2 linked regions of the Rattus norvegicus genome follow. The protein of the gene in region 2 purifies or fractionates together with the protein of the main gene of each other region. This does not show direct contact. Links are inferred from orthologs where the notes say so. Each region holds a gene or a part of one and is shown on either strand. Other genes may lie near its edges. The genes, in order: Endog and Dnaja1.

The links.
Region 1: the proteins of Dnaja1 (region 2) and Endog purify together in Homo sapiens (affinity purification with mass spectrometry; 3 studies listed by BioGRID and IntAct, counting the BioPlex papers as one, with this or other methods). This does not show direct contact. The link is inferred for Rattus norvegicus from reciprocal best matches to the Homo sapiens genes DNAJA1 and ENDOG.

What each region holds. Positions count from the first base shown.
Region 1 is NC_086021.1:33,842,325-33,853,377, forward strand, and holds Endog (endonuclease G, mitochondrial precursor), read left to right. Parts: upstream 1-4,610; 5' UTR 4,611-4,634; coding exon 4,635-5,126; intron 5,127-6,158; coding exon 6,159-6,268; intron 6,269-6,682; exon of another isoform or gene 6,683-6,904; coding exon 6,905-7,187; 3' UTR 7,188-7,207; downstream 7,208-11,053. Other genes in the region: Spout1 (putative methyltransferase C9orf114 homolog), read right to left, coding at 7,326-7,394, 8,182-8,329, 8,447-8,549, 9,032-9,130, 9,225-9,297, 10,178-10,308, 10,450-10,499, 10,588-10,677. UniProt on the Homo sapiens protein: Endonuclease that preferentially catalyzes the cleavage of double-stranded 5-hydroxymethylcytosine (5hmC)-modified DNA.
Region 2 is NC_086023.1:60,633,292-60,644,385, forward strand, and holds the start of Dnaja1 (dnaJ homolog subfamily A member 1), read left to right. Parts: upstream 1-5,112; 5' UTR 5,113-5,223; intron 5,224-5,504; exon of another isoform or gene 5,505-5,582; intron 5,583-6,276; 5' UTR 6,277-6,286; coding exon 6,287-6,418; intron 6,419-6,514; coding exon 6,515-6,692; intron 6,693-9,239; coding exon 9,240-9,344; intron 9,345-11,094.

The sequences.
Region 1 (11,053 bases), on a different chromosome or scaffold from region 2:
GTCAGAAATGTGGGCAGAGAGTAGTCTCCTCTGGCTTCCCAGGCGTGTCTGCCCCTCTGAAGGTCTAGCTCTCCCTCCCATGGGATTTCGTTGCAGGGAGCTGTTTGACCAGGTTCCTTCAGATCCGGGCGGTGTCTGGACCGCAGCGTTCAGTGCCCCATCTTCTTGTTCCCAGACGTCCTATATAGTTTCCTCTTGGGCCAAGTATGTGGGCAAGGGTGGGAAGTTCTGGCGGGTCGGTCTCTCCTGCCCTGCAGTCTCAGGAGTGTCCACCTATCTGGGTGATGCGTTCTCTCTCCCACGGGGTTAGGGAGCAGGGAATGTAGTCAGTGCTCTTAACCACTGAGCGGTCACTCCAGCCCCGTCAGCGTTTTTTCAAATTGGCATCTCTAATACTGATGTGGGACTAGTGGATTAAATCCTGCATCCTCAGGGTCCCATGTGAAGAACGATGGATCTTTTTCAGTATGCTTTTACCCATTTTCTCTGGTACAACTAGTTTGTAGTCAGCTGCCCTCCATCATCTCTTATGACACTGAGACCGGGGAAGCCCAGCTCACAACTTCTGTCTCATCAGAGAGTGTGGGGTCTCCTGGGTCTAAGGCATCAAGGACATGAGGGGTCCAATTTCCAGGGCCACCCGCCGGGCTGTTTGCTGTACTTTGGGATGGAGTGGGGCTCTTCTGCCTTCAGAAGTTTTCTCTCCCTGTAAATAGCCCCACAGATATGAGTGCTAGCAAAGGCACAGCGGCCATCAGTGTCTCTTGTCTTTCTCAGCTCTAACACCTTAATCAGACCTGGCAGTTCAGCTTTCTGGGCTGAAATTCCTGTCAGGAGTAACTCTGCCCATATGATCTCGGTGTTTGTGACTACTGCTGTCCCAGCATAGCTCTGTCTATCCCAGATGGGTCTGTTGCCATTGGTAAGCCATGGTACCTCTGCATTCTTCAGAGCAGTTATGAAGAGGCCAATCAAAGTCAAGGTCAGGTAGCAGGGCAGCTGAAGTGATCCTGGGGCATTCAAGAGAAGAGGCTGGTAATGAATTATTCTGGCATCATCTTTAACCAGGAGGTCATTGCTGCACTGATGTGTAAACAGGGCGGGGCCGCCTTCTGCCAATTGGTGACACATTAGCCAGTGGCTGACACCAGGGCCCCCAGTCTGAGTATGCATCCCTGGGTTTAGGGAGGTCACATGCAGTTGGCCGAGTTAGGGCTTCTTAGTGGAGGCTCAATAGTCCAATTTTCTAGAGCCTCTAAGAGGTCCTCTGTTTTTATTTCTATTGCCACTGGGAAGTCATTTATAAATTGATGAAGAGAATTTTTTTTTTTTGGTTCTTTTTTTCGGAGCTGGGGACCGAACCCAGGGCCTTGCGCTTCCTAGGCAAGCGCTCTACCACTGAGCTAAATCCCCAACCCCAAGAATTTATCTTCAGGCTTTACCAAGACAGAATGTAAACTTTATTAATTATCAACAAAAAGCCGGTGGATTTTTTTTTTTTTTGGTTCTTTTTTTTGGAGCTGGGGACCGAACCCAGGGCCTTGCGCTTCCTAGGCAAGCGCTGTACCACTGAGATAAATCCCCAACCCCAAGCCGGTGGATTTTACTTTTACTTTTAGGGTTACTCCAGGTTTGGGGAGGGGGTGCTTTTGGTCTTCAGGGCCCCCTTACCTCCTTCTTCTGAAGTTATCTGTTTTAGGCATCTCCTATGGACTTCTGGTTTGGCCATGGTTGCCAAAAGGAACTTTGCCGGATCTCACGTCTGTTGGTCCTGACCTCTCATCTGCTTCTCCTCTGCAGTCTCTCTCTCTCTCTCTTTTAAAATACCTTCTTTGCCACTAAGTTCCTCACATTCCTTTCTCCTAACCTCTCAACCCTCTAGAGCTTTTTCTAAATATCTGGTGCTGCATGATTAATAAAAGCTAGAGTAACTGCTGCCTTTGCCTCTGGTGCAGAGTCCATTGGGAACTATTGTTGAAATGTCTCCATGACCCTCTCCACAAAAGCTGCAGGCCTTTCCTTTTCTCCATGCCTAATGTCATACACTCTGGACAAATTTGTGGGCTTTCTTGCAGGTGCCTTGAGACCTAACAGCAGAACCTGACAATAGTCTAAGGACCTGCTCTCAGACTGGGTGGTGTGAAAATCCCAGTCTGGGTGAGATAGGGGGAAGTAAGCATCCACAGTTGCTTGGTTACTGGTGGGCTCCCCTGTGGGGCCAGGAACCAGCTTTCTGGCCTCTTCTTTGGTGAAGGGAACCTGTAGAATGTGGTAGACGTAACCTGCTTCATGTTAATATAGCCATCAAAGTCCAAGTCACTTTATCAAAGTCACCTTGTAACGAGAAACACAAACACAACACAACACCACAACAAACAAGAAAAATAAAACAAAAAAACCCCTGAGAAACAACAAGAAAGTGGCACTCATGACAAAGACCTCTCTATGACACCCAAAACACAAGTCCAACCTTTCCTCTCTATCAGGCAGAAACAAGAAACAACCAGAAAATGGAGTACTCACACAAGAAAAAAAGAACCAGATTGGTGGATGTCTCTCAGCTTCCTGGAGCTCTTGCATACCCCAGACCTAGACTGAGGACATCTCCTGGCCCTTCTTTAGCCACAGCTCCCAGACACGTCTGTCCTAACAGCAAACCAGTCACGGAAACAAATTCACAGCTTTGTTCACAGAAAGATGTGGCATTATTTGGAGTCAATGAACACAGAAAGGCACAACCAGAAACAAAAACCAAAAACAGAAAAAAATAGAGCCTACAATAAGGAGAATAAAGTAGAAAGTAGTGCTCACAGGAGATTGATGCAACACCTCTCTGAATCTGTGAACAGCCAGCCAGCAACAAAAACCAAAACTAGAGAAAAGATACAGCCTGCAGTAACAAGAAACAACCAGACGGTGGTGCTCACACAAGCAGTACTGCACAGATGTTTATTCAGACCTGGAAAAATCACCATGGCAACATAAGTCATTTATCTTTACACAGTTTTCGTTCCCCTCTGTACATCTCTTTTTGTTTGTTTGTTTGTTTGTTTTTTTTTCCGGAGCTGGGTACTGAACCCAGGGCCTTGTGCTTGCTAGGCAAGCGCTCTACCACTGAGCTAAATCCCCAACCCCCCTCTGTACATCTCACAGAAAACTTCTAACATTTAGACAAATTAGCCATCACACAAATCACAAGGTTTTGTACCATTGCCCATGTATTCACCCAGGTACAGTGTACTCACTGTAAATAAAATTTTAAAACAAAAGAAAACAAAATTATGTTGTCTGTATAGGTGTTTCGCCTACAAATCTTTTGGTGTTACAGATGGTTGTGGCCTGCATGTAGGTGCTGGAAACTGAACCTGGGACCATTGCTAGACCAACAAGTGCTCTGAATGCTGCACCATGACTTCAGCCCAAACTTGGTTCTTTTTTTTCCATTAATTTGTTTCAATGGTCCATGGTGGCACACACCTTTAATTCCAGCACTTGGACGGCAGAGGTAGGCAGATCTCTGAGTTCCAGGACAGACAGGGTTACACAGAGAAACCCTGTCTTAAAAAAAAAATTAACCAATCAACCAAATGTATTTATATGATTTCCCTCCAATACCCTTTGTTTGTCAACATGTACAGATGCCCTATGTCCCTATTTATCTTTTTTAAAAGACTTATTTTATTTATATGAGTACACTGTTGCTGTCTTCAGACACACCAGAAGGGGGCATCAAATTCCATTAAAGATATTTGTGAGCCACCATTTGGTTGCTGGGAAGTGAACTCAGGACTTTGTGAACAGTCAATGCTCTTAACCGCTGAACCATTTCTCCAGCGCCCTACCCCAATTATCTTTTAATGCATAATTGGTTCTGTCTCATGCTAATGGGTATAGCTGTGACTGTACACTCTCAGCCCAATTTTCTTCAGTTTTTTTTCCTTTTTTCTTTTTCTTTTTTTTTTTTTTTTCGGAGCTGGGGACCGAACCCAGGGCCTTGCGCTTGCTAGACAAGCGCTCTACCACTGAGCTAAATCCCCAACCCCTTTTCTTCAGTTTTTACATATCGTTCTTCCTTCACCTTAATAAGGTTGCAGTCTTAATATATTCATAGGTTAAATATTGCTTCATCTGATATGCAGGAAATATTCTTATCCAGCCCCTGTCCTGTGGACAGGAATCACTGGCCTACACAACCAACTTGCCAGGCCCAACCCATGAAACGGGTTGAGAAGTTAAGACACCAGGAAGTATAGCTGTTTTTGTTAACCTTATTAGCAAGTTTCAATTCCAGGCGGTTATCAGCAGCTACAGTTTTCACCTGCGTCCTACTGTTAGTCAATCTACAGGAATCCTTCGCTCATTTGGTGGCAGGAGGATGGGTGCACAGGAGGGGTCTGACAGATTTGGGGTTCTGTCCTGTTTAAAAGCAACTAGATTTCCCAGGGACTTGTGAGCAGTACAAGGCGAGGCGGAGCCAGACGTGGAACGACCAATGGCAAGCGGGTAGGGCGGTACCAGGCCCTTGCCCTGTCTTAAAAGGGCAGCTGAAGGGCGTGGGGGACACGGCACAGGCTCCTTCGCATTTTTGCTGTAGCTTTTTTTTCTTTAGGTAGCGCGCTGGTCCTCCGGTAGGCATGCGCGCGCTACGGGCCGGTTTGACCCTGGCGCTGGGCGCCGGCCTGGGCGCCGCGGCAGAGCATTGGCGGCGGCGAGAGGGTAAAGGGCCGGGGCTGCTGGGCCGAGTGCCAGTGTTGCCGGTTGTCGCGGCCGATCTTCCCGCGCTGCCGGGGGGACCGGCTGGCAGCACCGGAGAGTTGGCCAAGTACGGGCTGCCCGGCGTGGCGCAGCTCCGGAGCCGCGAGTCCTACGTGCTGAGCTACGACCCGCGCACGCGCGGTGCGCTCTGGGTGTTGGAGCAGCTGAGGCCAGAGCGGCTCCGTGGCGATGGGGACCGTCGCGCCTGCGACTTCCACGAGGACGATTCTGTGCACGCGTACCACCGCGCCACCAATGCGGACTACCGCGGCAGTGGCTTTGACCGCGGCCACTTGGCGGCCGCCGCCAATCACCGCTGGAGTCAGCGGGCCATGGACGACACCTTCTACCTGAGCAACGTAGCGCCTCAGGTAGTCCGGGACCCTTGTCGCCTGCCTCAACGCAGCGCCTAGATCTTACTTTACACGTGCATGGTGGCGGGAGGGAGGAATCCTATGGTCGCACTGGAGAGTCCCGGGTTCATCCCTCTTCAGCCTCCCGTGGCAAGCAGTGCACTAAGCAGTGATTAGCTGCAGCAATGTCAATAGCAAGCGACCCAAAGTGCTTCCTCAGGGAACCCTGGAGCTGGCCTACAGCAGCTGCCAGGGAAACAGCTGCCATGAAGTTGGGCTGCTGGTGCCAGTCACACCACCAGGACACATTGTTAGCACTACACCAGCTCCCAGCAGGGCCTTGATCGTGAAATAGGTTTCTGGGACATCCATTCAGTGGATGGAGATGAACAGGAGCCCACACAACACTCCACCCCTTTTTGTTGCTCGAAGTTTTTTTTTTTTTTTTTTGGTTCTTTTTTTTCGGAGCTGGGGACTGAACCCAGGGCCTTGCGCTTCCTAGGTAAGCGCTCTAACCACTGAGCTAAATCCCCAGCCCCAGTTGCTCGAAGGTTTGAGACAGGGTTTCTCTGTGTAGCCCAGGCTACCCTGGAACTCAAGAGATCTGCCTGCCTCTGCCTCCTGAGTGCTAGAATTACTCACACCTTTTTTTTTTTTTTTTGGTTCTTTTTTTTTTTTCGGAGCTGGGGACCGAACCCAGGGCCCTGCGCTTCCTAGGCAAGCGCTCTACCACTGAGCTAAATCCCCAGCCCCCTACTCACACCTTTTTTAGAGCTTGTCCTGAGGTTTGGGAGTTTCAAGGGACCTTAGGGGTCTCTGAGTGACTAATGTTCCCTCTTTCCTTTCTTTGAGTTGGGGAAAGCTTAAAGATTTGGAGTGCCAGGGATGGGGTGTGGCTAGCACTGGCTTAACACCTGTAGTCATATTGCCTCAAGGAGTGACCCCTTTCTTGAGCCCTGTCCTCCAAATGTTTGGGAATCGACCTTAGGACTTGGGACATCCCTAATAGAAGGTCCGAGGTGTGCTCCTGAGCCTGGCTTCTCCCACCAGGTGCCACACCTCAACCAGCATGCCTGGAACAACCTTGAGAAGTACAGCCGCAGCTTGACTCGAACTTACCAAAACGTTTATGTCTGCACAGGGCCTCTTTTCCTGCCCAGGTAAGGCTGCAGCTCCTGTTCTCCAACCTCATGCTTTCTGCATCACTGTAGCCGGAGACCTTAGGGTGGCCTAGAACTCTGTTGTGCCCGCAGGTGCCTGGCCTCACACCTGCCTTCCCCCCCCCCCCCCCCCCCCCCCGCTTCTCATGCCTCACCACCTGTAACCTGTTGCTACACAAGGGTCTCTCTCACCGCTGCCTCTGATCTTCCAGACAAGTGAGCCAGTTTTGCTCCTCTGGACAGCCGCAGGAAGTGTCACCAGCACAGGCTGCACGAGGCGGCAGCTGCTGAGGAAACTCTGTGGTGTCCACTGAGCATCAATCATGGCCTCCACTCATGCTTGTTTGGTGTACGGCCTATGGGACAGGTTCTAGTCGTGTGAGCATGGGTGAGCATCCAGGTCTAGAGAACTCATTAGAACTCATTCCTCTATCTTCATTTATTGCCACCCATTCTGTCTGAACCAGCATTGGGCAGAAAAGCATTGGTCCCCACCATACATAGTTCCCAGACCAAAGGAGGAATCAGGCACAAACAAACTTCTTGTTGGAAGTTAGGTCAGAGGAGGCTTCCTGGAAGAGGTGACCTTGAATCTAACCAGGCCTCTTGGCCACCTGTGCCTGGGTCTATCCACAGGACCGAGGCTGATGGGAAGTCCTATGTGAAGTACCAGGTTATTGGGAAGAACCACGTGGCAGTGCCCACACACTTCTTCAAGGTGTTGATCCTGGAGGCAGCCAGTGGGCAAATCGAGCTGCGTTCCTATGTGATGCCCAATGCCCCGGTGGATGAGACTCTCCCTTTGGAGCGCTTCCTAGTGCCCATCGAGAGCATCGAGCGGGCCTCGGGATTGCTCTTCGTGCCCAATATTCTGGCTCGAGCTGGAAACCTCAAGGCCATCACTGCTGGTAGCAAGTGATGGAGTAGGACTCACTCAAGACTCTGGGAGACGGCTCGCATTAAAGGCAGTTATTTTTGGAGAGAAGTCTTGACCATCTCTACTCCCTGTGATCCTCCTTGTCTTGCTGCTTCCTCTCATCCTGGATCCAGAGGGCTGTCAGGTGGGTCGCGCCCCTCCCTGGGTGAGGCCAGGCTGCAGAGCGGCCAGTGAGATGAGTATGGCCTCCTGGAATAAAAGAAGTTGGTTGTGACCTGGTAGGCAGGCAGCCTTCCTTTTCAGAGCCCCACGTGGGGTCTACCTCAGAGCCAGGAGGGGAAAGACGACTGGTTGGCAGGAATTAGTAACATGGGCAGGGCTTCAGACAGGGAGACTGGGGCTGCTCATCTGCAGAGTCACCGCCCCTGAGGCTGAAGGAGGAACAGAGCCTCCCTGTGATCCCCATAGGGACACAGCCCATGCTGGCCTCAAGGACGGTTGCATGGATCTGTGGATGCTGGGATCTTGTTCCACTTTCCCCAGGAACAGAAATGTCTAACACCCAGAGGGGACACTCGGAGGGGGGATGGGTTAAAAAAAAACAGAACCGAACACCCGGAGGGACCTAGGCAAGCACACGGAAGCCAGAGGGCCTGCAGAGGGACAGACAGGACACCTGGGTCCCTTGGCCTAGGCACGTGAGACTACTACAGGGCCAGGAAGGCAACTCCTGTGCTCTTGTATCCAGGTCCTGCCCCTAGTTTGCTGTGGTAAAGATCCCAGCTTCAGAAAAGCTATTTAAATGGGGCTGGAGAGATGGCTCAGTGGATAAGGGCACTGGCTGCTTTTCCTCAAGTCCTGAGTTCAATTCTCAGAATGCACATGACAGTTCCTAACTCTAGTCTCCTGGGATCCAACGCCCTCTCCCGATGTACAGATGGACACAAGTACATGCAGACAAAACATCCCTAAGTGTCTTTTAGAAAAGGCATGCTGTGTGGGTCACAAGAGCTGGGTGCCAGTGGCTGCGGCTCACCTCGGTGCGGATGGTACGACTGCCCTGGCTAGGGCATGTGTTGACATAAAAGTCGAAGAGGACACTGGGGTCAGCCACTTCAAGGTTCGGGTCAGCATCCACTCCAGCTTCTAGCCCTTGGAGGCCTCCGAACACCACAAGAGCATGCCTGGTACCCAGAGAGGGAGACACTGACACCAAGGCTCCACTGATTGCAGTCTCCAGAGCCTAAGGTCCCTAACCCGCTGTGGATTAGGGCCCAGTTCCTGTACTAAGCAGCACTCACCTGAAGTTGGGCAGCTGGGTAGAGGCCACGCTGGAGCCACGTTCTGATGTCCCAATGGTCAGGTCATACCCATCCTGGAAGGGAGCCTCGGCAAACACAGCACCTGGGGGTGGGCAGACTCAGTGGGGTCTTGCTCTCGGCTGTGTGTCTAGTACAGTGTAGGGTCAGGTGGAGGGAGAGGTCAGGTAAAGAAGGCATCCACTGCTCTTGGGACGCTGACCTTGCCTGGGGAACATTCGGGGTAGGCAGGGAGAAGCTCCCAAGCCCCAGACGACGTTTAGCAGTCATGATACTTAAGTCAGCAAGGTCTTGCTCTCAGGTATCTAAGCTGGTCTCAAATGACAGTGAGATTTCTGTGCTGGCCTCGCTAGAGCTAAGATTGCAGCAGGATAGGGGCCAAGCACCTCCTGTTCTCAGATGTTCTTAGCATTCACAGAGATGTTCGGGGAGACTGGGGTACCAGAGATGAGACCAGAGACTAGAGGAGGCTTCACCTACACACACATCTTGGTAGGACAGAGACCCTGATCTGTGGGTCTCACAAGTGGGACAGATGGACACTTGGGGAGGGACGTCAGTTCTTACTGAGGCAGGAGGCCAGCCGGACAGTGTAGCCCCAGTAGAGACCAGCTTTGGTGCGGGGGTCCTGTGACGACACGACTGTTCCTTTGTACGTCTTGCATTCTGGAGAATAGGACAGGCTGTGAAAACCAAGGAGGCCGGTAGCGAGGAGGCAGCTCTAAGGGGCAGCTGTCAGGGTCAAGGTGGCCCCCAATACCTGGGAGCTGCTGCTGGTTCAGCCGCACGGTCACCCGAAGTCCAGGGTCCAGTTTCTTATCAATCTTCACTTCCTGAAGAGAAGCTAGCACAAGTGAGAGGCACAACACAAAGGGGACAATGTCCTCAGAGACCCCAGGTCAATGTGCCACCCTGTTTCTGGCAGTGGGTGGGACCTGCTAAGAAGGGCTGTTCATGCAGAACAATTATACAGGGCATTGGTCAGCAATGCAAGCCCAGGGCTTACAACATGGAGAGAGACAGTGTCTACGAAGCTACACTTGGATCCGGCAAGATGGTTCACCGGGTAAAGGCTCCCGTCCCCAAGCTTGAGGACCTGAGTTCACTTCCTACACAGTGGGAGAACTGACACCTGCCAAGTTACCCTTTGACCTCACATTCATTCCTTGGCATGAGCCTATTTACCCACACACTCTCTCACACACAGATTAAAGGTGGAAAAATTTAAATCTACCTAACCTCAAAAACAGCAAAGCTGAGAACATACCATCATGGGGCATGATTAAAGCTCAGGAACGAAATCAACAGAAAAACAGCACAGCGCCAACAAGAAATCCAGAGCATGGTTCCTTCTCGCTTCCTTAGGTGTGTGGGTATTTTGGCTGCATGTGTGCCAGGGAGTTATGCTCATGTCTGGGGCCCATGGAGGCCACAAGAGGGCACCAGATTCCCCAGAAGGGAGTTCCAGGGCTTTGTGATCCACAGCAGGGTTCTGCGTGTTGAACATGGGTCCTCTGCAAGAGCAGCCCGTGCTCTGTAGCCTGTGAGCCACCTCTGCAGCCGCGAGGGGCTCCTCTCTGGAGCCCCACTTTGGGTTCATTAGTGTTTCACAGCAGGCCTGGAGTCCAGGTCTCCTCGTTCATGTGTCCTCACCTGTCTTTCATAGATAGCAAGTGTCCCCAAGTGTACCACAGGCCGCCTTCCCACTCCTACCTTCTTCATTCCACAGTTGACCAAAGAGCCGTGGCCAGCCTTGGTGGGCCGGTCCACCACGACGCCTTCTCTGAACTCAGATTCTTCATCCTGACGCATGTGGTGAGGGCTGTCCAACGGGTTGAGGATTCCTGGGCAGGGGACAGGAGGGTGACGTCAGGCCAGGCTCTACTCTGGGCCTGCCTTCCTACCTGGAGGTGTCTGTGGGGCGGGATGATTTCTCAGTGCCTGAGGATGAGCCAGGGGGGATGGGACAGGCACAGCAGCCGTACCTGCAAACTGCAGATCCTGGTGCTTGGGGAAGAACGCTTTCCTCAGATACCTAGGCAGGAATGCAGCTGTCAGGACCGTCACGGGGAGGCTGCCCCCCAGCTACCTCAAAGGTGATGCCACCCTCACCTCACACTTACTGTGGACACTCCAGGTACTGCAGGATGCGGGCCAGCTGGACACATGCCTGCCCCTTCTTGCCAACGCCCCTGAATTCTCCCTCCACACTCCTGGAAAGATTAAGACAGGCCTCCAGACCCAAGTGCTGGGTTGCTGAGATGGCTAATCCTGAAGACCGAAATTCCATGCCCACAACCCCATTGGGAAAGGAGGCCTGGCAATCTGACTCCCACCAGTTTTTTTTTTTTTTCCACTTCTTTTTGGAGACTGGTTTCTTGGTGTAGCCCTGGCAGTCCTCCTTGCTCTGTAGACCAGGCTGTCCCTGAACTCTCAGAGACCCGCCTGCCTCTGCCTCCTGGGTACTGGGATCAAAGGCGTGTGCCACCAGTGCTCAGCTCAAACTGCATTCCAATCTCCACAACCACACTGGTGTTTGTATACAAGCACCGTAAAGAAATGTTACACAAACCCACAACCAGGGAAGTG
Region 2 (11,094 bases):
TCAACTGACGGGCACTCATGGGAACTTGAGAGATCAGGAAATCTATAGGAGTCTGACCTAGGTCCTCTACGTATATGTTATAGCTAAGTAGCTTGGTGTTCTTGTGGGAATCCTAACAGTGGGAGTGGGGGACTGTCCCTGACTCTCTTGACTACTTGTGGGACCCTTTCTCCCACTACTGGGTTGCCTCGTCCAGCCTTGGTGTGATGGTATGTGCCTGGTCTGACTGCATCTTGTTATGCAGTTTTTTTGGTCAACGTCCTGCTCTTTCCTAAGGGAGGGAGGGGAAAGAGGGAGAATCTATGGAAGAGGCATGGTGGGGAGGGGAAAGGCTGGGGTAGGAGAAGGAGGGAAAACCTCAGTCCATATATGAAAGAAGAATAAAGGGTGGGGGGCGTGTTTCAGTAGAGGACACTACAACTCTCAGTAACCATGTGGCCAGATCACAAGTGGCTGGAAGTGGCTGTGGGCAGTGACCAAATAGTAATGATTCATACTCTCTGCTAAGAAATAAGAATTGTTTTCAGAAGCTCTGGATGATTTTAGGAATGCCTGTGTCAGAGAGCTGCAACCTGGGCATGTCCAGGGCCTCACTATACTTTCACTCAGCTCACAGCCTACAAATACCCAGTGCTCATCTGAGATGATGAAAACATGCCTGGAGTGGCCGAGAAACCCGTGAACAGTGTCTGGAGAACGCCCTCTCTCCTGCGACCGGCCTGTGCCCTCCCCAGAAAAACAGAAGAGGTGCCAGCTGCGGTTCCAAATAGATGGACGCAGGATGACTTGGAGTTCAAGGTATCCTGAACTACACACCAAATTCAAGTAGCCTGGGCTACATGAGACTCTATCCTCCCCAAAAGAAAAGCAAAAGAGAAAAGGAGATGGGGTTAGGGGTAACTTAAATGAAAAGTTTGTACTTCTTAAGAACATTACAGACATATCAGCAAACATTCTCTCCCTTACCCTATCCTCACACCGGCAGTTACACTACCAAGCTGGATTAGAAGGCTGAGTGAGGATCCCTCTGTAAGGCAGGATGAATTAAGAATTAAGCTTTGGGGCTGGAGAGACGGCTCAATGATTAAGAGCACCGACTGCTTTCCAGAGGTCCTGAGTTCAAATCCCAGCAATCATATGGTGGCTCACGACCATCTGTAATAAGGGATCCGATTCGCTCTTCTGGTGTGTCTGAAGAGAGCGACACACACACACACACACACACACACACACACACACACACACACACGTGCATGTGCATGTGCAATAAGAGGAAACTGAACGGAAGGGCCAAATGTGGTGACTCATACCTGTAATCCTAGCATTTGGAGGCTGAGGCAGGAGGACTAACCTAAATTCAAGACCAGCCTGGGCCACAGAGTAAGACAGGAAGTATGGGATTTTTTTTTAATTTTATTATTTTAGGTGGACGTGTACTTTGTCTGTATGTATGTCTATGCACTGCATACATACACTGCATACATACACTGCATACAAAGAAAAAATGTTAAAGCAGTAAGATATTAACTTCTCACATACACTCCCAAACAGGGTCTTAAATATCCCAAGCAGCCTCAAACTTTCTATGTAGCCTCCGTTGGCCTTGAACTCCTGAGCTTCCTACATGAGCCTCCCAAATGCTGGGATGACAGGTCAAAACCAACGCATTTAATTAAGTTTTGACTTGTAAAGCTGGCAAACATTTAACAGAACAACAAGAAAGCAAATTAGAATCCCCTACACTCGGAAGGCTCATTCACACACGTGCTGCTGGAAGCAGCTTGAACCAGCATACAAAGTCGATATAACTTTCAATTTGCAGTCGCATTGGCTCAGCGGTTAGGTGTTTGTCCTAAAGAAATATTTGCTGCAAGTGTGGTGGTAGAGGCCTGCAATCCCAGCTCTTTTCAGGCTGAGTCAGGAGGATTGCAAGTTTGAAAACAACCTGTGCTGCATAGAGGTCTAGAAATTGGGTGTGGTAGCGTATGCCTGTGAAGCTTGAAGGGTCAATGGCTCCCTGCTTCGGGGGAGCTGAAATCCACCCACCTCCCCTGCTTTCCCCCCTTTTATTTTCGAATCACTTCAATCAACTCTAATCTACAAAGGAGGATCATGTTTTTGAGGCTGGCTTGGACTACACAGAGGGTTCGCGGTCTCAACTCTGTGAGGCCTATAGGAGGTTGAAAAAGCACGAAAGAAAAATAAAGTTTGTATGAGAACCTAAAACTGTATTTGGAGATCTTCAACACTTAACCATAAAATACTGGAAACTGCTGAAACATTGAATAGGGAACAGGAAACCACATCAAAAATAACAAGGCTGATTTATTTACCCCAACAAAACGATGTTGTAAACAACTCGTGCAAGACGGTTTTCTTTCTTCTTTTTTTTTTTTTTTTTTTTTTGGGAGCTGGGGACCGAACCCAGGGCCTTGCGCTTCCTAGGTAAGCGCTCTACCACTGAGCTAAATCCCCAGCCCCTGTTTTTTTTCTTCTTTGCAGTCCTAAGAGTTGCACCTGGGGCTTGAACAGGCTAAGAAGCACTCATTCTGTGAGTTAGGTTCTCACTCCCAAAGATGGTGTTACACCTAATTCGAGTGACCTTGAGTTCACCAGCCTCTTGGTTCTGCTTCCTAGTTCTGAAATTTCAGGTGAGATCTCATTTCCGTGCCCCCCCCCCAAAAAAAACACATATGAAGTTGCTGGACATTTTTTGGGCTGTTTGTTTGTTTTGAGATAGTGTCTTACTCTGTAGCTCTGTCTGTCCTGGAACTTGCTATGTAGACTGGGCTGGCCTCTGTATCAGAGATCTGCCTGCCTCTGCCTTCAGAGTAAAGGCGGACTTTATCAGCCTAGCCCGATTTTTTTTTTTGTTTGTTTGTTTGTTGGTTTGTTTGTTTGTTTGGTTGGTTGGTTTTGGGGTTTTTTTTGTTTGTTTTTTTTTGTTTTTAATTCTGTTTTTTTTTTTTCTTCTCTCATTACAAGTTAAGTTCCTTGAGGGTAGGGGCCATGGCTTACAAAAGTTTTGTATTGACAAGGCCTAGAGTACACCTGGCATATTAGGTAATTTACTCCAAAGCGCTGGCTTAAAGCAGCAGTTCTCAACCTGTGGGTCTTCATCCCTTTGGCAAACCTTTAGCACACATTTATATTACAACTCATAGCAGTAGTAGCATACAGTTATGAAATAGCAATGAAAATAATTTTATGGTTGGGGGGTCTCCACAACATGAGCTAGAATAAAGGGTTGCAGCATTAGGAAGGTGGAGAACCCCTGCTTTAAAGACATAACCTATTGCTAGATGTGATATCTGAGAAGGCAACATGAGATGAGAAAGATCAGATGTCTCTCAGCCAAAACCAGAGCACATAATCAACCATCTATGGCGTAGTGTTAGTGACTGAGTTTAGTGAAAGCAGTAATGGTGGTGGGGCAGAGCAGTACAACATTGAAATTCTAAAACCATTAGCTTTTTAAGACTAAGAGCTGGGCTGGAGAGATGGCTCAGTGGATAAGAGCACTGACTGCTCTTCCAAAGGTCCTGAGTTCAATTCCATGTTGTGGCTCATAACCATCTGTAATGGGATCTGATGCCCTCCTCTGGTGTGTACGAAGACAGCAACGGTATCCTCATAAAAGAATAAAAAAAAAAAAAAAAAAAAGACTAAGAGCTAAAGATGTCTTTGGGCAGGTTTGAAGGCAGCCTTTACAGCTCCCTTAGCTCTGGCTACATCCCTGTGACCTCCTTAAAGCACTGCTCAGCTGGTGAAGCACAGAAGACCCGAGTTACCTGTGTAAAGGAGAGAACTACAATAATGGTCCACAGTTAAAACACACACAATATAACAAACATTTAACACATCTTATTCCACAAAAGTCTAAGCAGGAGGCCCCATGGTCTTCCTCTTCACAACTGCTCAGAGGCTGAAGAGTTCAGAGTTTGAAGCCAGCTTTGGCTACAAAGAGAGTACCAGGCCAGTCTGGGCTCAAAAACAAGGCTAAGGGGTGTAGAGAGATAACTAATCCGTTTAAAGCACTGGTTGCTCTTGCAGAGGCCCCAGGTTCACTTCCTAGCATCCACGTGGTGACTTAAAATTATCTGTACCTCCAGTTACCACAGGAACTAGGTATGCATGGGGTGCATAGACACACATGTAAACAGAACACTCATATACAAACAGTAACTAAAAAAACCTTAGAAGTCAAACAAGAAAACTAAATAATAAAATGTGACTAAGTTATCTGGAATAGTCAAATTCATAGATTCTATGTCTCTGGCTTCCTTGGGCACCTATACACACAGATACACACGATTGGAATTAAATCTTTTTAAACTATGTGAACTCTTTAAGCTTGCACCTCCACTTCTTTGATGTGTCTATTGTGTTACTGAATAAGAAAAACATTCACTGTCCCTTGAAAGCTTAAGATTCAACTTTGCCAACTATAGATTTTGATTCACTAACTGGAAATAAAAACGGTCAAAAAATTGAAACAATAAACTAAAGCAATTAATTTCGTGTTTTGCTGCTACTCTGCAGCCAAACTGGGTGGCAGACTGACTAAAAAGGTGCGTGAAGCATTCTAAATGTTTCCTGTTTGGTGCAGTCCCAGGTTCTGTCCGCCCAAGTCAGAGCCAGAAGGATCTGAAGCCTGGGCTCATCCAAAAAGCTGTGACAGGAGTGCGCTTGGGTGAAACCACCGGATCCAAAGCCTGCAAGGCTAGTCTAGGGACTAGGCCCGCCTTGCTCAGCATTTCTTGCCCGCAAGGCTCAGAGCTAAGGAGCTGCAGAAAATTAGACTCCGGTGAGGTTAGGATCCCTTCTGCACAGCGCCTGAAGCACTCGTCCCCGGCTTACGGCTCTGGGACATGACCTCTCCACCTCAAGACTTCCGCCCTCTGGTACCTCGCATAAAGAAAAAGCCTCTAGAAGATTCTACAAGGATCGGGAACCCGGGCCTGAGTCCACCCCCACAAGGCCCTTGGGCGCAGCCACTCTCCGCCCCCGCGCCGTTGCCCAGGTAACCGAGGGGCGGTGGCAGAAGCGAGGGGCGGGACTTCCGGCAAGTGACGCGCCCGGGCTCCGCTACAAAAGAGGTCGGCTGCGGCGGGCCGGGCGGAACTTTCCAGAACGCTCGGTGGGTGGTAGAGGAGCAGCGTCTGGCCGAGCTGCGCTGTGCTACGCTCCTCTTTCCGCTCTCCGGCGCCGGCCCGCTCACCGGTGAGTCTAGGTCCTTGGGTCTCCCTCGGTCGCGGCGTGCGGCCTGGGCACCAGACAGCCGGGGAAGCCGCAGCCGGAGGCGGTTGGTCCCGCGTGGGCGGGGACTGTGGGTTCCCTGAGCCGGGCTCGGTCTTCGGAAGGCTGCCGGGAATGCCCGGCGCCCTGCCCGCCCGCACGCCACGAGGCGGCCCAAGGCCGAAGCCAATTCGCCTCCCGCCTCAGACTCTTCGGTGCGCACCGCCGCCCGGGCTGGGTGGGCAGCGCTGCGCACGCGCGGACCGAGGCAGGGGTGAGGGGCTGCGGGAGGAGCGGGGCGGAGGCTGCGGCTTGCGCTTCTCCTGGCTCTCCTCCCTTTCTTTGTTGAGTCCGGCCTTCCCCCTCCGCCTTTTCGATCAGGGTGGGAGGGAGAAAGGAAGGAAACCTTAACGGTCGGCGCCAGGTGCCGGGGAAACCCAGAGGGCGAGTCAGCTCCGCAGGCCTGAGGGGCGAGAGTGGGTAAGTTGCGAGCGAGCAGGAGCAGGATGGCGAAGGGGCCTGGGCACCTGCTCTCTCGAGCTGGTCTCATAAGCCACTCCTCCACCCCCGGGTGTCCAGTGTCCCTTTCCGGCGAGGGTATGGCCTTTATCAGATGTACAAAGGCAGTGGTAATGTACTAACCAGTGGATGGAACCTATCAGTGCTGCTTTGGGTTACTAGCAAAACCTCTGGGGGAAAGGAAACCGGAAGAAACCCAATAATTCATGTGTTAGTGCAGTAGAGCAGGAACCAGCTGCTAGACAGACTTTCCTTCGCCTTCCCTGAAATTTAAATTTAGTCTGTTAGAATTTACAGCTGAATCATAGCAGGAATTTTTACCTTTTAAGACGTTTAGGGAAGGCTGTATTAATATGAGATAAAGGCAAAAAACCAGATTGCTTTAGTTCTGGTAGTTAAAAACTATAAGTTAAGAGCCAGTCATCTCTCAGGAGGCAGAAGCAGATGTTTTTTTTTTGTTTTGTTTTGTTTTGTACAAAAGGTAAAAGCAAGTTTAAAATTATCATTTTCTGATTTCAGGCTGTAAAAAATGGTGAAAGAAACTACTTACTATGATGTTCTGGGGGTCAAACCCAATGCCACCCAGGAAGAATTGAAAAAGGCATATAGAAAATTGGCCTTGAAGTACCACCCTGATAAAAATCCAAATGAAGGAGAAAAGGTAAGCAGCTCAGCAGTGTTGCCATGTGAATTAAGTCTGTACGGTAGCTGTGCTTTCTAACAGTTGTTTCTAATGGGATATCCTTTTCTGAAACAGTTTAAACAGATTTCTCAAGCTTATGAAGTTCTTGCTGATTCCAAGAAAAGGGAACTATATGATAAAGGGGGCGAGCAGGCGATTAAGGAGGGCGGAGCAGGTGGAGGTTTTGGCTCGCCCATGGATATCTTTGATATGTTCTTTGGAGGAGGAGGAAGGATGCAAAGAGAAAGGAGAGGTAAGAAAAAAATCTAGCTTACCTGCAGCAGAACAAAGTAACTGCTGATGAAAGAAAGACTTGAGAATTTATTTAAATGTTTTTTTACTCTTTAGCGTGATGTTACATTCTGTCCATGAACTGTCTCTGACTTCTGGTGTCATTTATAATTGAGTTGCTGTGGTTGTTTGGTTTGTTTGGTTTTTTATAATTTTTATTTTATGTGCACTGATGTTTTTGCCTGCATGTATGTCTGGATGAGGGTGTCAGATCTTGGAGTTATAGACAGTTGTGAGCTGCCATGTGGATGCTGAGAATTGAACCCTGGTCCTCTAGAAGAGCAGCCAGTCCTGTTAACCACTGAGCCTTCCCTCTAGCCCCTATAATTGAGATTTTATGTAACCAAAAAGTAGCTAAGCCAAAAAAGCAGGTATAACCAACTCCATATATTTTCAAACAGTAGGGTAACAAATTGTAGTAACAACTTAGGGTTTCTGGGCTGGAGAGATGGCTCAGTGGTTAAGAGCACCGACTGCTCTTCCAGAGGTCCTGAGTTCAAATCCCAGCAACCACATGGTGGCTCACAACCATCCGTAATGGGATCTGATGTCCCTTTCTGGTGTGTCTGAAGACAGCTACAGTGTACTCATATACAAAATAAATAAATCTTTAAAAAAAAAAAAAACTTAGGGTTTCTAAGCCCTTTTGTATCTTAGATAATATCACCTGCTCTTAGAACTCAGTGGTAAGTGCAGTGGCCTTTTTCTGTTAAAAATATGTTGGAGAAGGGGTTGGGGATTTAGCTCAGTGGTAGAGCGCTTGCCTAGGAAGCGCAAGGCCCTGGGTTCGGTCCCCAGCTCCGAAAAAAAGAACCAAAAAAAAAAAAAATATATGTTGGAGAAAACGAAACCTTTTCAAGCAAAGACTGGATACAGCTCGTTGCCTCCAGATAGCCTGCTGCCTGTTTACTCTTCAGCTTCATTAGCTCAGCTTAGATGCATTGACTGTTGGATCAAAAGACGTATTTTATGGGAAGACAGTATTGGAGGTTAAAATGGCACTTTGTTCTCAATATAGTTAATACAAACTAATGGGTAGGCACAGTTAGAACAAATCGGCAGCCCATTAAATTTCACTTTGCCCTTTTAAAGGTTTAAGAAGACTTGAAAATCTGTTTACTGTGTTTTTATAAGAATTTACCTATGGGCCTGAGAAATTGCTCAGTGGTTAAGAACATTTGCCATTCCTTGCAGAAGATCCAGATTTTGTTTCCTAGCACCCACATTAGATAGCTGGCTCACTACTGCCTGAAACTCTAGCTAGCTCCAGGGGACCAGACAACCTCTTTTGGCCTCTTGGTTAAACATGTATGCACAAAAAATAAAAACCTATAATCCCAATCAACTGCTAACCATAAGATGGTATGAGCTACAGAAAAGTTATGACTAAACCTTTTTGGCTTAGATCAGTTTGAGGGGTTTTGTTAACTTGTTGCTGCTTTGGAAAATGTACTTGGTCATTTTCCAGAAGCTTTATTTTTCCTTTCTTGTATTCAGTATAAAGTTGAGAAAGCTCTAACTTTCAATTTGAGAACCTACATGCTTACATGTTCTCTTTATGATAATAAAAATACAAAGTGAAGCTAGAAGCACAATGTAGTGAGACTTTTAATAACCTCATTTAAAGAGTAAATATTTTTTTACGTATGATATTCAGAAAGGATTGGAACTTTATTTAGTAGTTAGGCAATGTTGATAGCGGTGGATAAAGTCCTAGTGGAAGGATCACTAGCTAGGAACTTATTAACCGTTGGTGGGTGATTTCATTTTTGTAACCAGGTTGTCCTTATGTGATCTCAACCAACCTACTTCCTGTTGTAGCTAATTATATGTGGCAATCTTTTGTCACTAGCCAGATAGGGGTCTTCAAGTTGAGTTAATTTAGAGGGGGGGGAAATTCTGTCCAGCTATAGTAGCCACCACACTTAAAATTGTATCTAGTAATTATGATTAGTGATTACAGTATTATACAAATAAAATGTGTCCATCATTACAGAAAGTTCTGTTGGACAATATTATAACAAAAGGCCTGGGTAATTTGAGACACCAATGTTAGCCTAGCAGTAAAAACTATTGAAACAGAAATAGAAATTGCTATTTCAGTAGTGTCTCTATTGGCTTCTCTGGCCAATCTTGATTAGAAAGAATTTACTGTGCTAAAGAATGTTTGGATTAAGTAACTGGCCATGTTGCTTAATAATGCCTAACAAGTAAAACTTTCAAAGGGATACATGCTTTGCATTGTGAAATGTGCCTGAACATTGACTTTTAAGGGTAGTATTTTAATTGCTGGATTTCTAAGAGGGTCTCTTGTGTTGATGAACTGCTCAGTTTTCTCATCTATGATTAGGTAAGCTTGAGAATCAAGTGATTGGAGGAATGTTGTGAGTATAGTTCAAAAAGATATGTAGCATGAGGCTGGTCTTCCATTATCTTTTGCCATTTTTATAGTGCCTTCAACAATGAAACGTTACAGATGGGTATTTAATGAGCAATGTTTTTATTCTAGGTAAAAATGTCGTGCATCAGCTCTCAGTGACCTTAGAAGACTTATATAATGGTGCAACAAGGAAACTGGCTCTGCAAAAAAATGTGATTTGTGACAAATGTGAAGGTAAGGGTTCTTAAGTGTGCTGAGTTGTTGTTAGTGGGGTTGTTGATGGTTTTTGAGAATAGGTTTTTGTAGGTTTGTTCCCCCCCCCCCCCCCAGCTGGGGACCGAACCCAGGGCCTTGCGCTTCCTAGGGCAAGCACTCTACCACTGAGCTAAATCCCCAACCCCAGTTTTTGTAGATTTAAGCTGGCTTTATCTTTTCTTCCTCAAATTTCTGAGCCACAGGGATTACCCCATACCTACCTAACTTCTAAAACTGAAATGCAACACTAAAAGCAGCTGAATCTTCTACCAAGAGAAACACAATGACTTTGTTGTGACATTTTCATGCCTGTATATAATTTTCATCATTGCTCTCTTCTCCAACTCCTCTTCCTTACATTCCTCTGTGTGCCTGTGGTTTGATGGCCCAGTGAGTCCTATTAGAGTTGTTTACAGGAATGGGGAAGGACTGTTCCCCAAAGGACAGGCACCACAATCAGTTAGCTACATGTAGAAGAAAATGTCTCTTCAGGGATGAGGCCTGGTCATCTGCTCCTTCCTTTATGACAAGATGTTGATGGGCCTAATCCTGTGTAGATCCTAACACTTTTTTTAAACAACACTTTGTACATTTTATATGTATGTTGTGTTTGTGTGGGATGTCAGAAAACTTGCAGTAACTAGTTTTTCTTCAACCATGCATGCATTAAAAATCAAACTGGGGTTGGTTAGACTTGGTGGCAAGTATTTTTCAAACTCTGATCTGTCTCAGTGGCACTAAATTAGCATCTTTTTGAAATTAATACTTAAGTTTTGTTTTTCATTTGTTATTGTTGGTTGGTTGGTCATCCAGGCTTCTGTCTCTAGTTCCTGAGTGCCTCCTAGTGTTAAATGTACAGTGTATACTACAGCATTTTGTCTACCCTTTTTTTTTTTTAAAGAAAAAAAAAGGATGGTCCTGATTCCAGGCATGTTTTAGATCTCTTATGAGATCGGCAAAACCTTGTCTCAAAAAAATTGTGCTGTGGGAACACATAATGTAAGATTGTGGTACAGGCTGTCTTGGAGTTACTGCTCATCTCACTACTCCCTTAAAGTGTTCTGAAAGTGAAATTCACTGTTAAGACCGCCCACTTCTTGAAGCTGACTAAAAAGGCTTGACACTCCATAACACCTGTCCCTTGTTTTGCTTTCCTGTGTGTTTATCTATGTACTGCTGCATGCAGTACCTGTGGAAGCCAGAAGTTCAGATCCCTCTGGAACTGGAGTTAAAGAGGATGTTTGTGAGCCACTATGTGGGTGCTGAGGAACAACCCCAGGCCCTCTGGAAAAGCAGCCAATCTTAATCCTTTAAATCAGTGAGGCATTTCTTTACAACTTGCCCTTCCCTTCCTATATCATCATCATCATCATCATCATCATCCACCTCCCCTCCCCCATCTGTGCCAAAAATCCTAAGAGTGGTGCTCTGACATCCTTTATCTAAAGACACACCTTCCCTTCACCCCACTCTCCAACACATGCAACTGCTTTTGCTGACCCATGTGTCTTGTTTAAACTAATTCAAGAGGAAGACCTCTCACCCTCCTCTTGACAATTGCTGAGATTCATAGCTTGCCTTTGTTTGCTTTTTCTCTCAAACTTCCAAAGAAGAATATTAATTTATCTGAATTGTACATTTTAGGATATCAGTCCATAAGGCCTTAAATACTGCGGCATTAGATTCTTGGTTACTGCTAAGTTAATGTATAAGTTTCTTTTAAAACTGT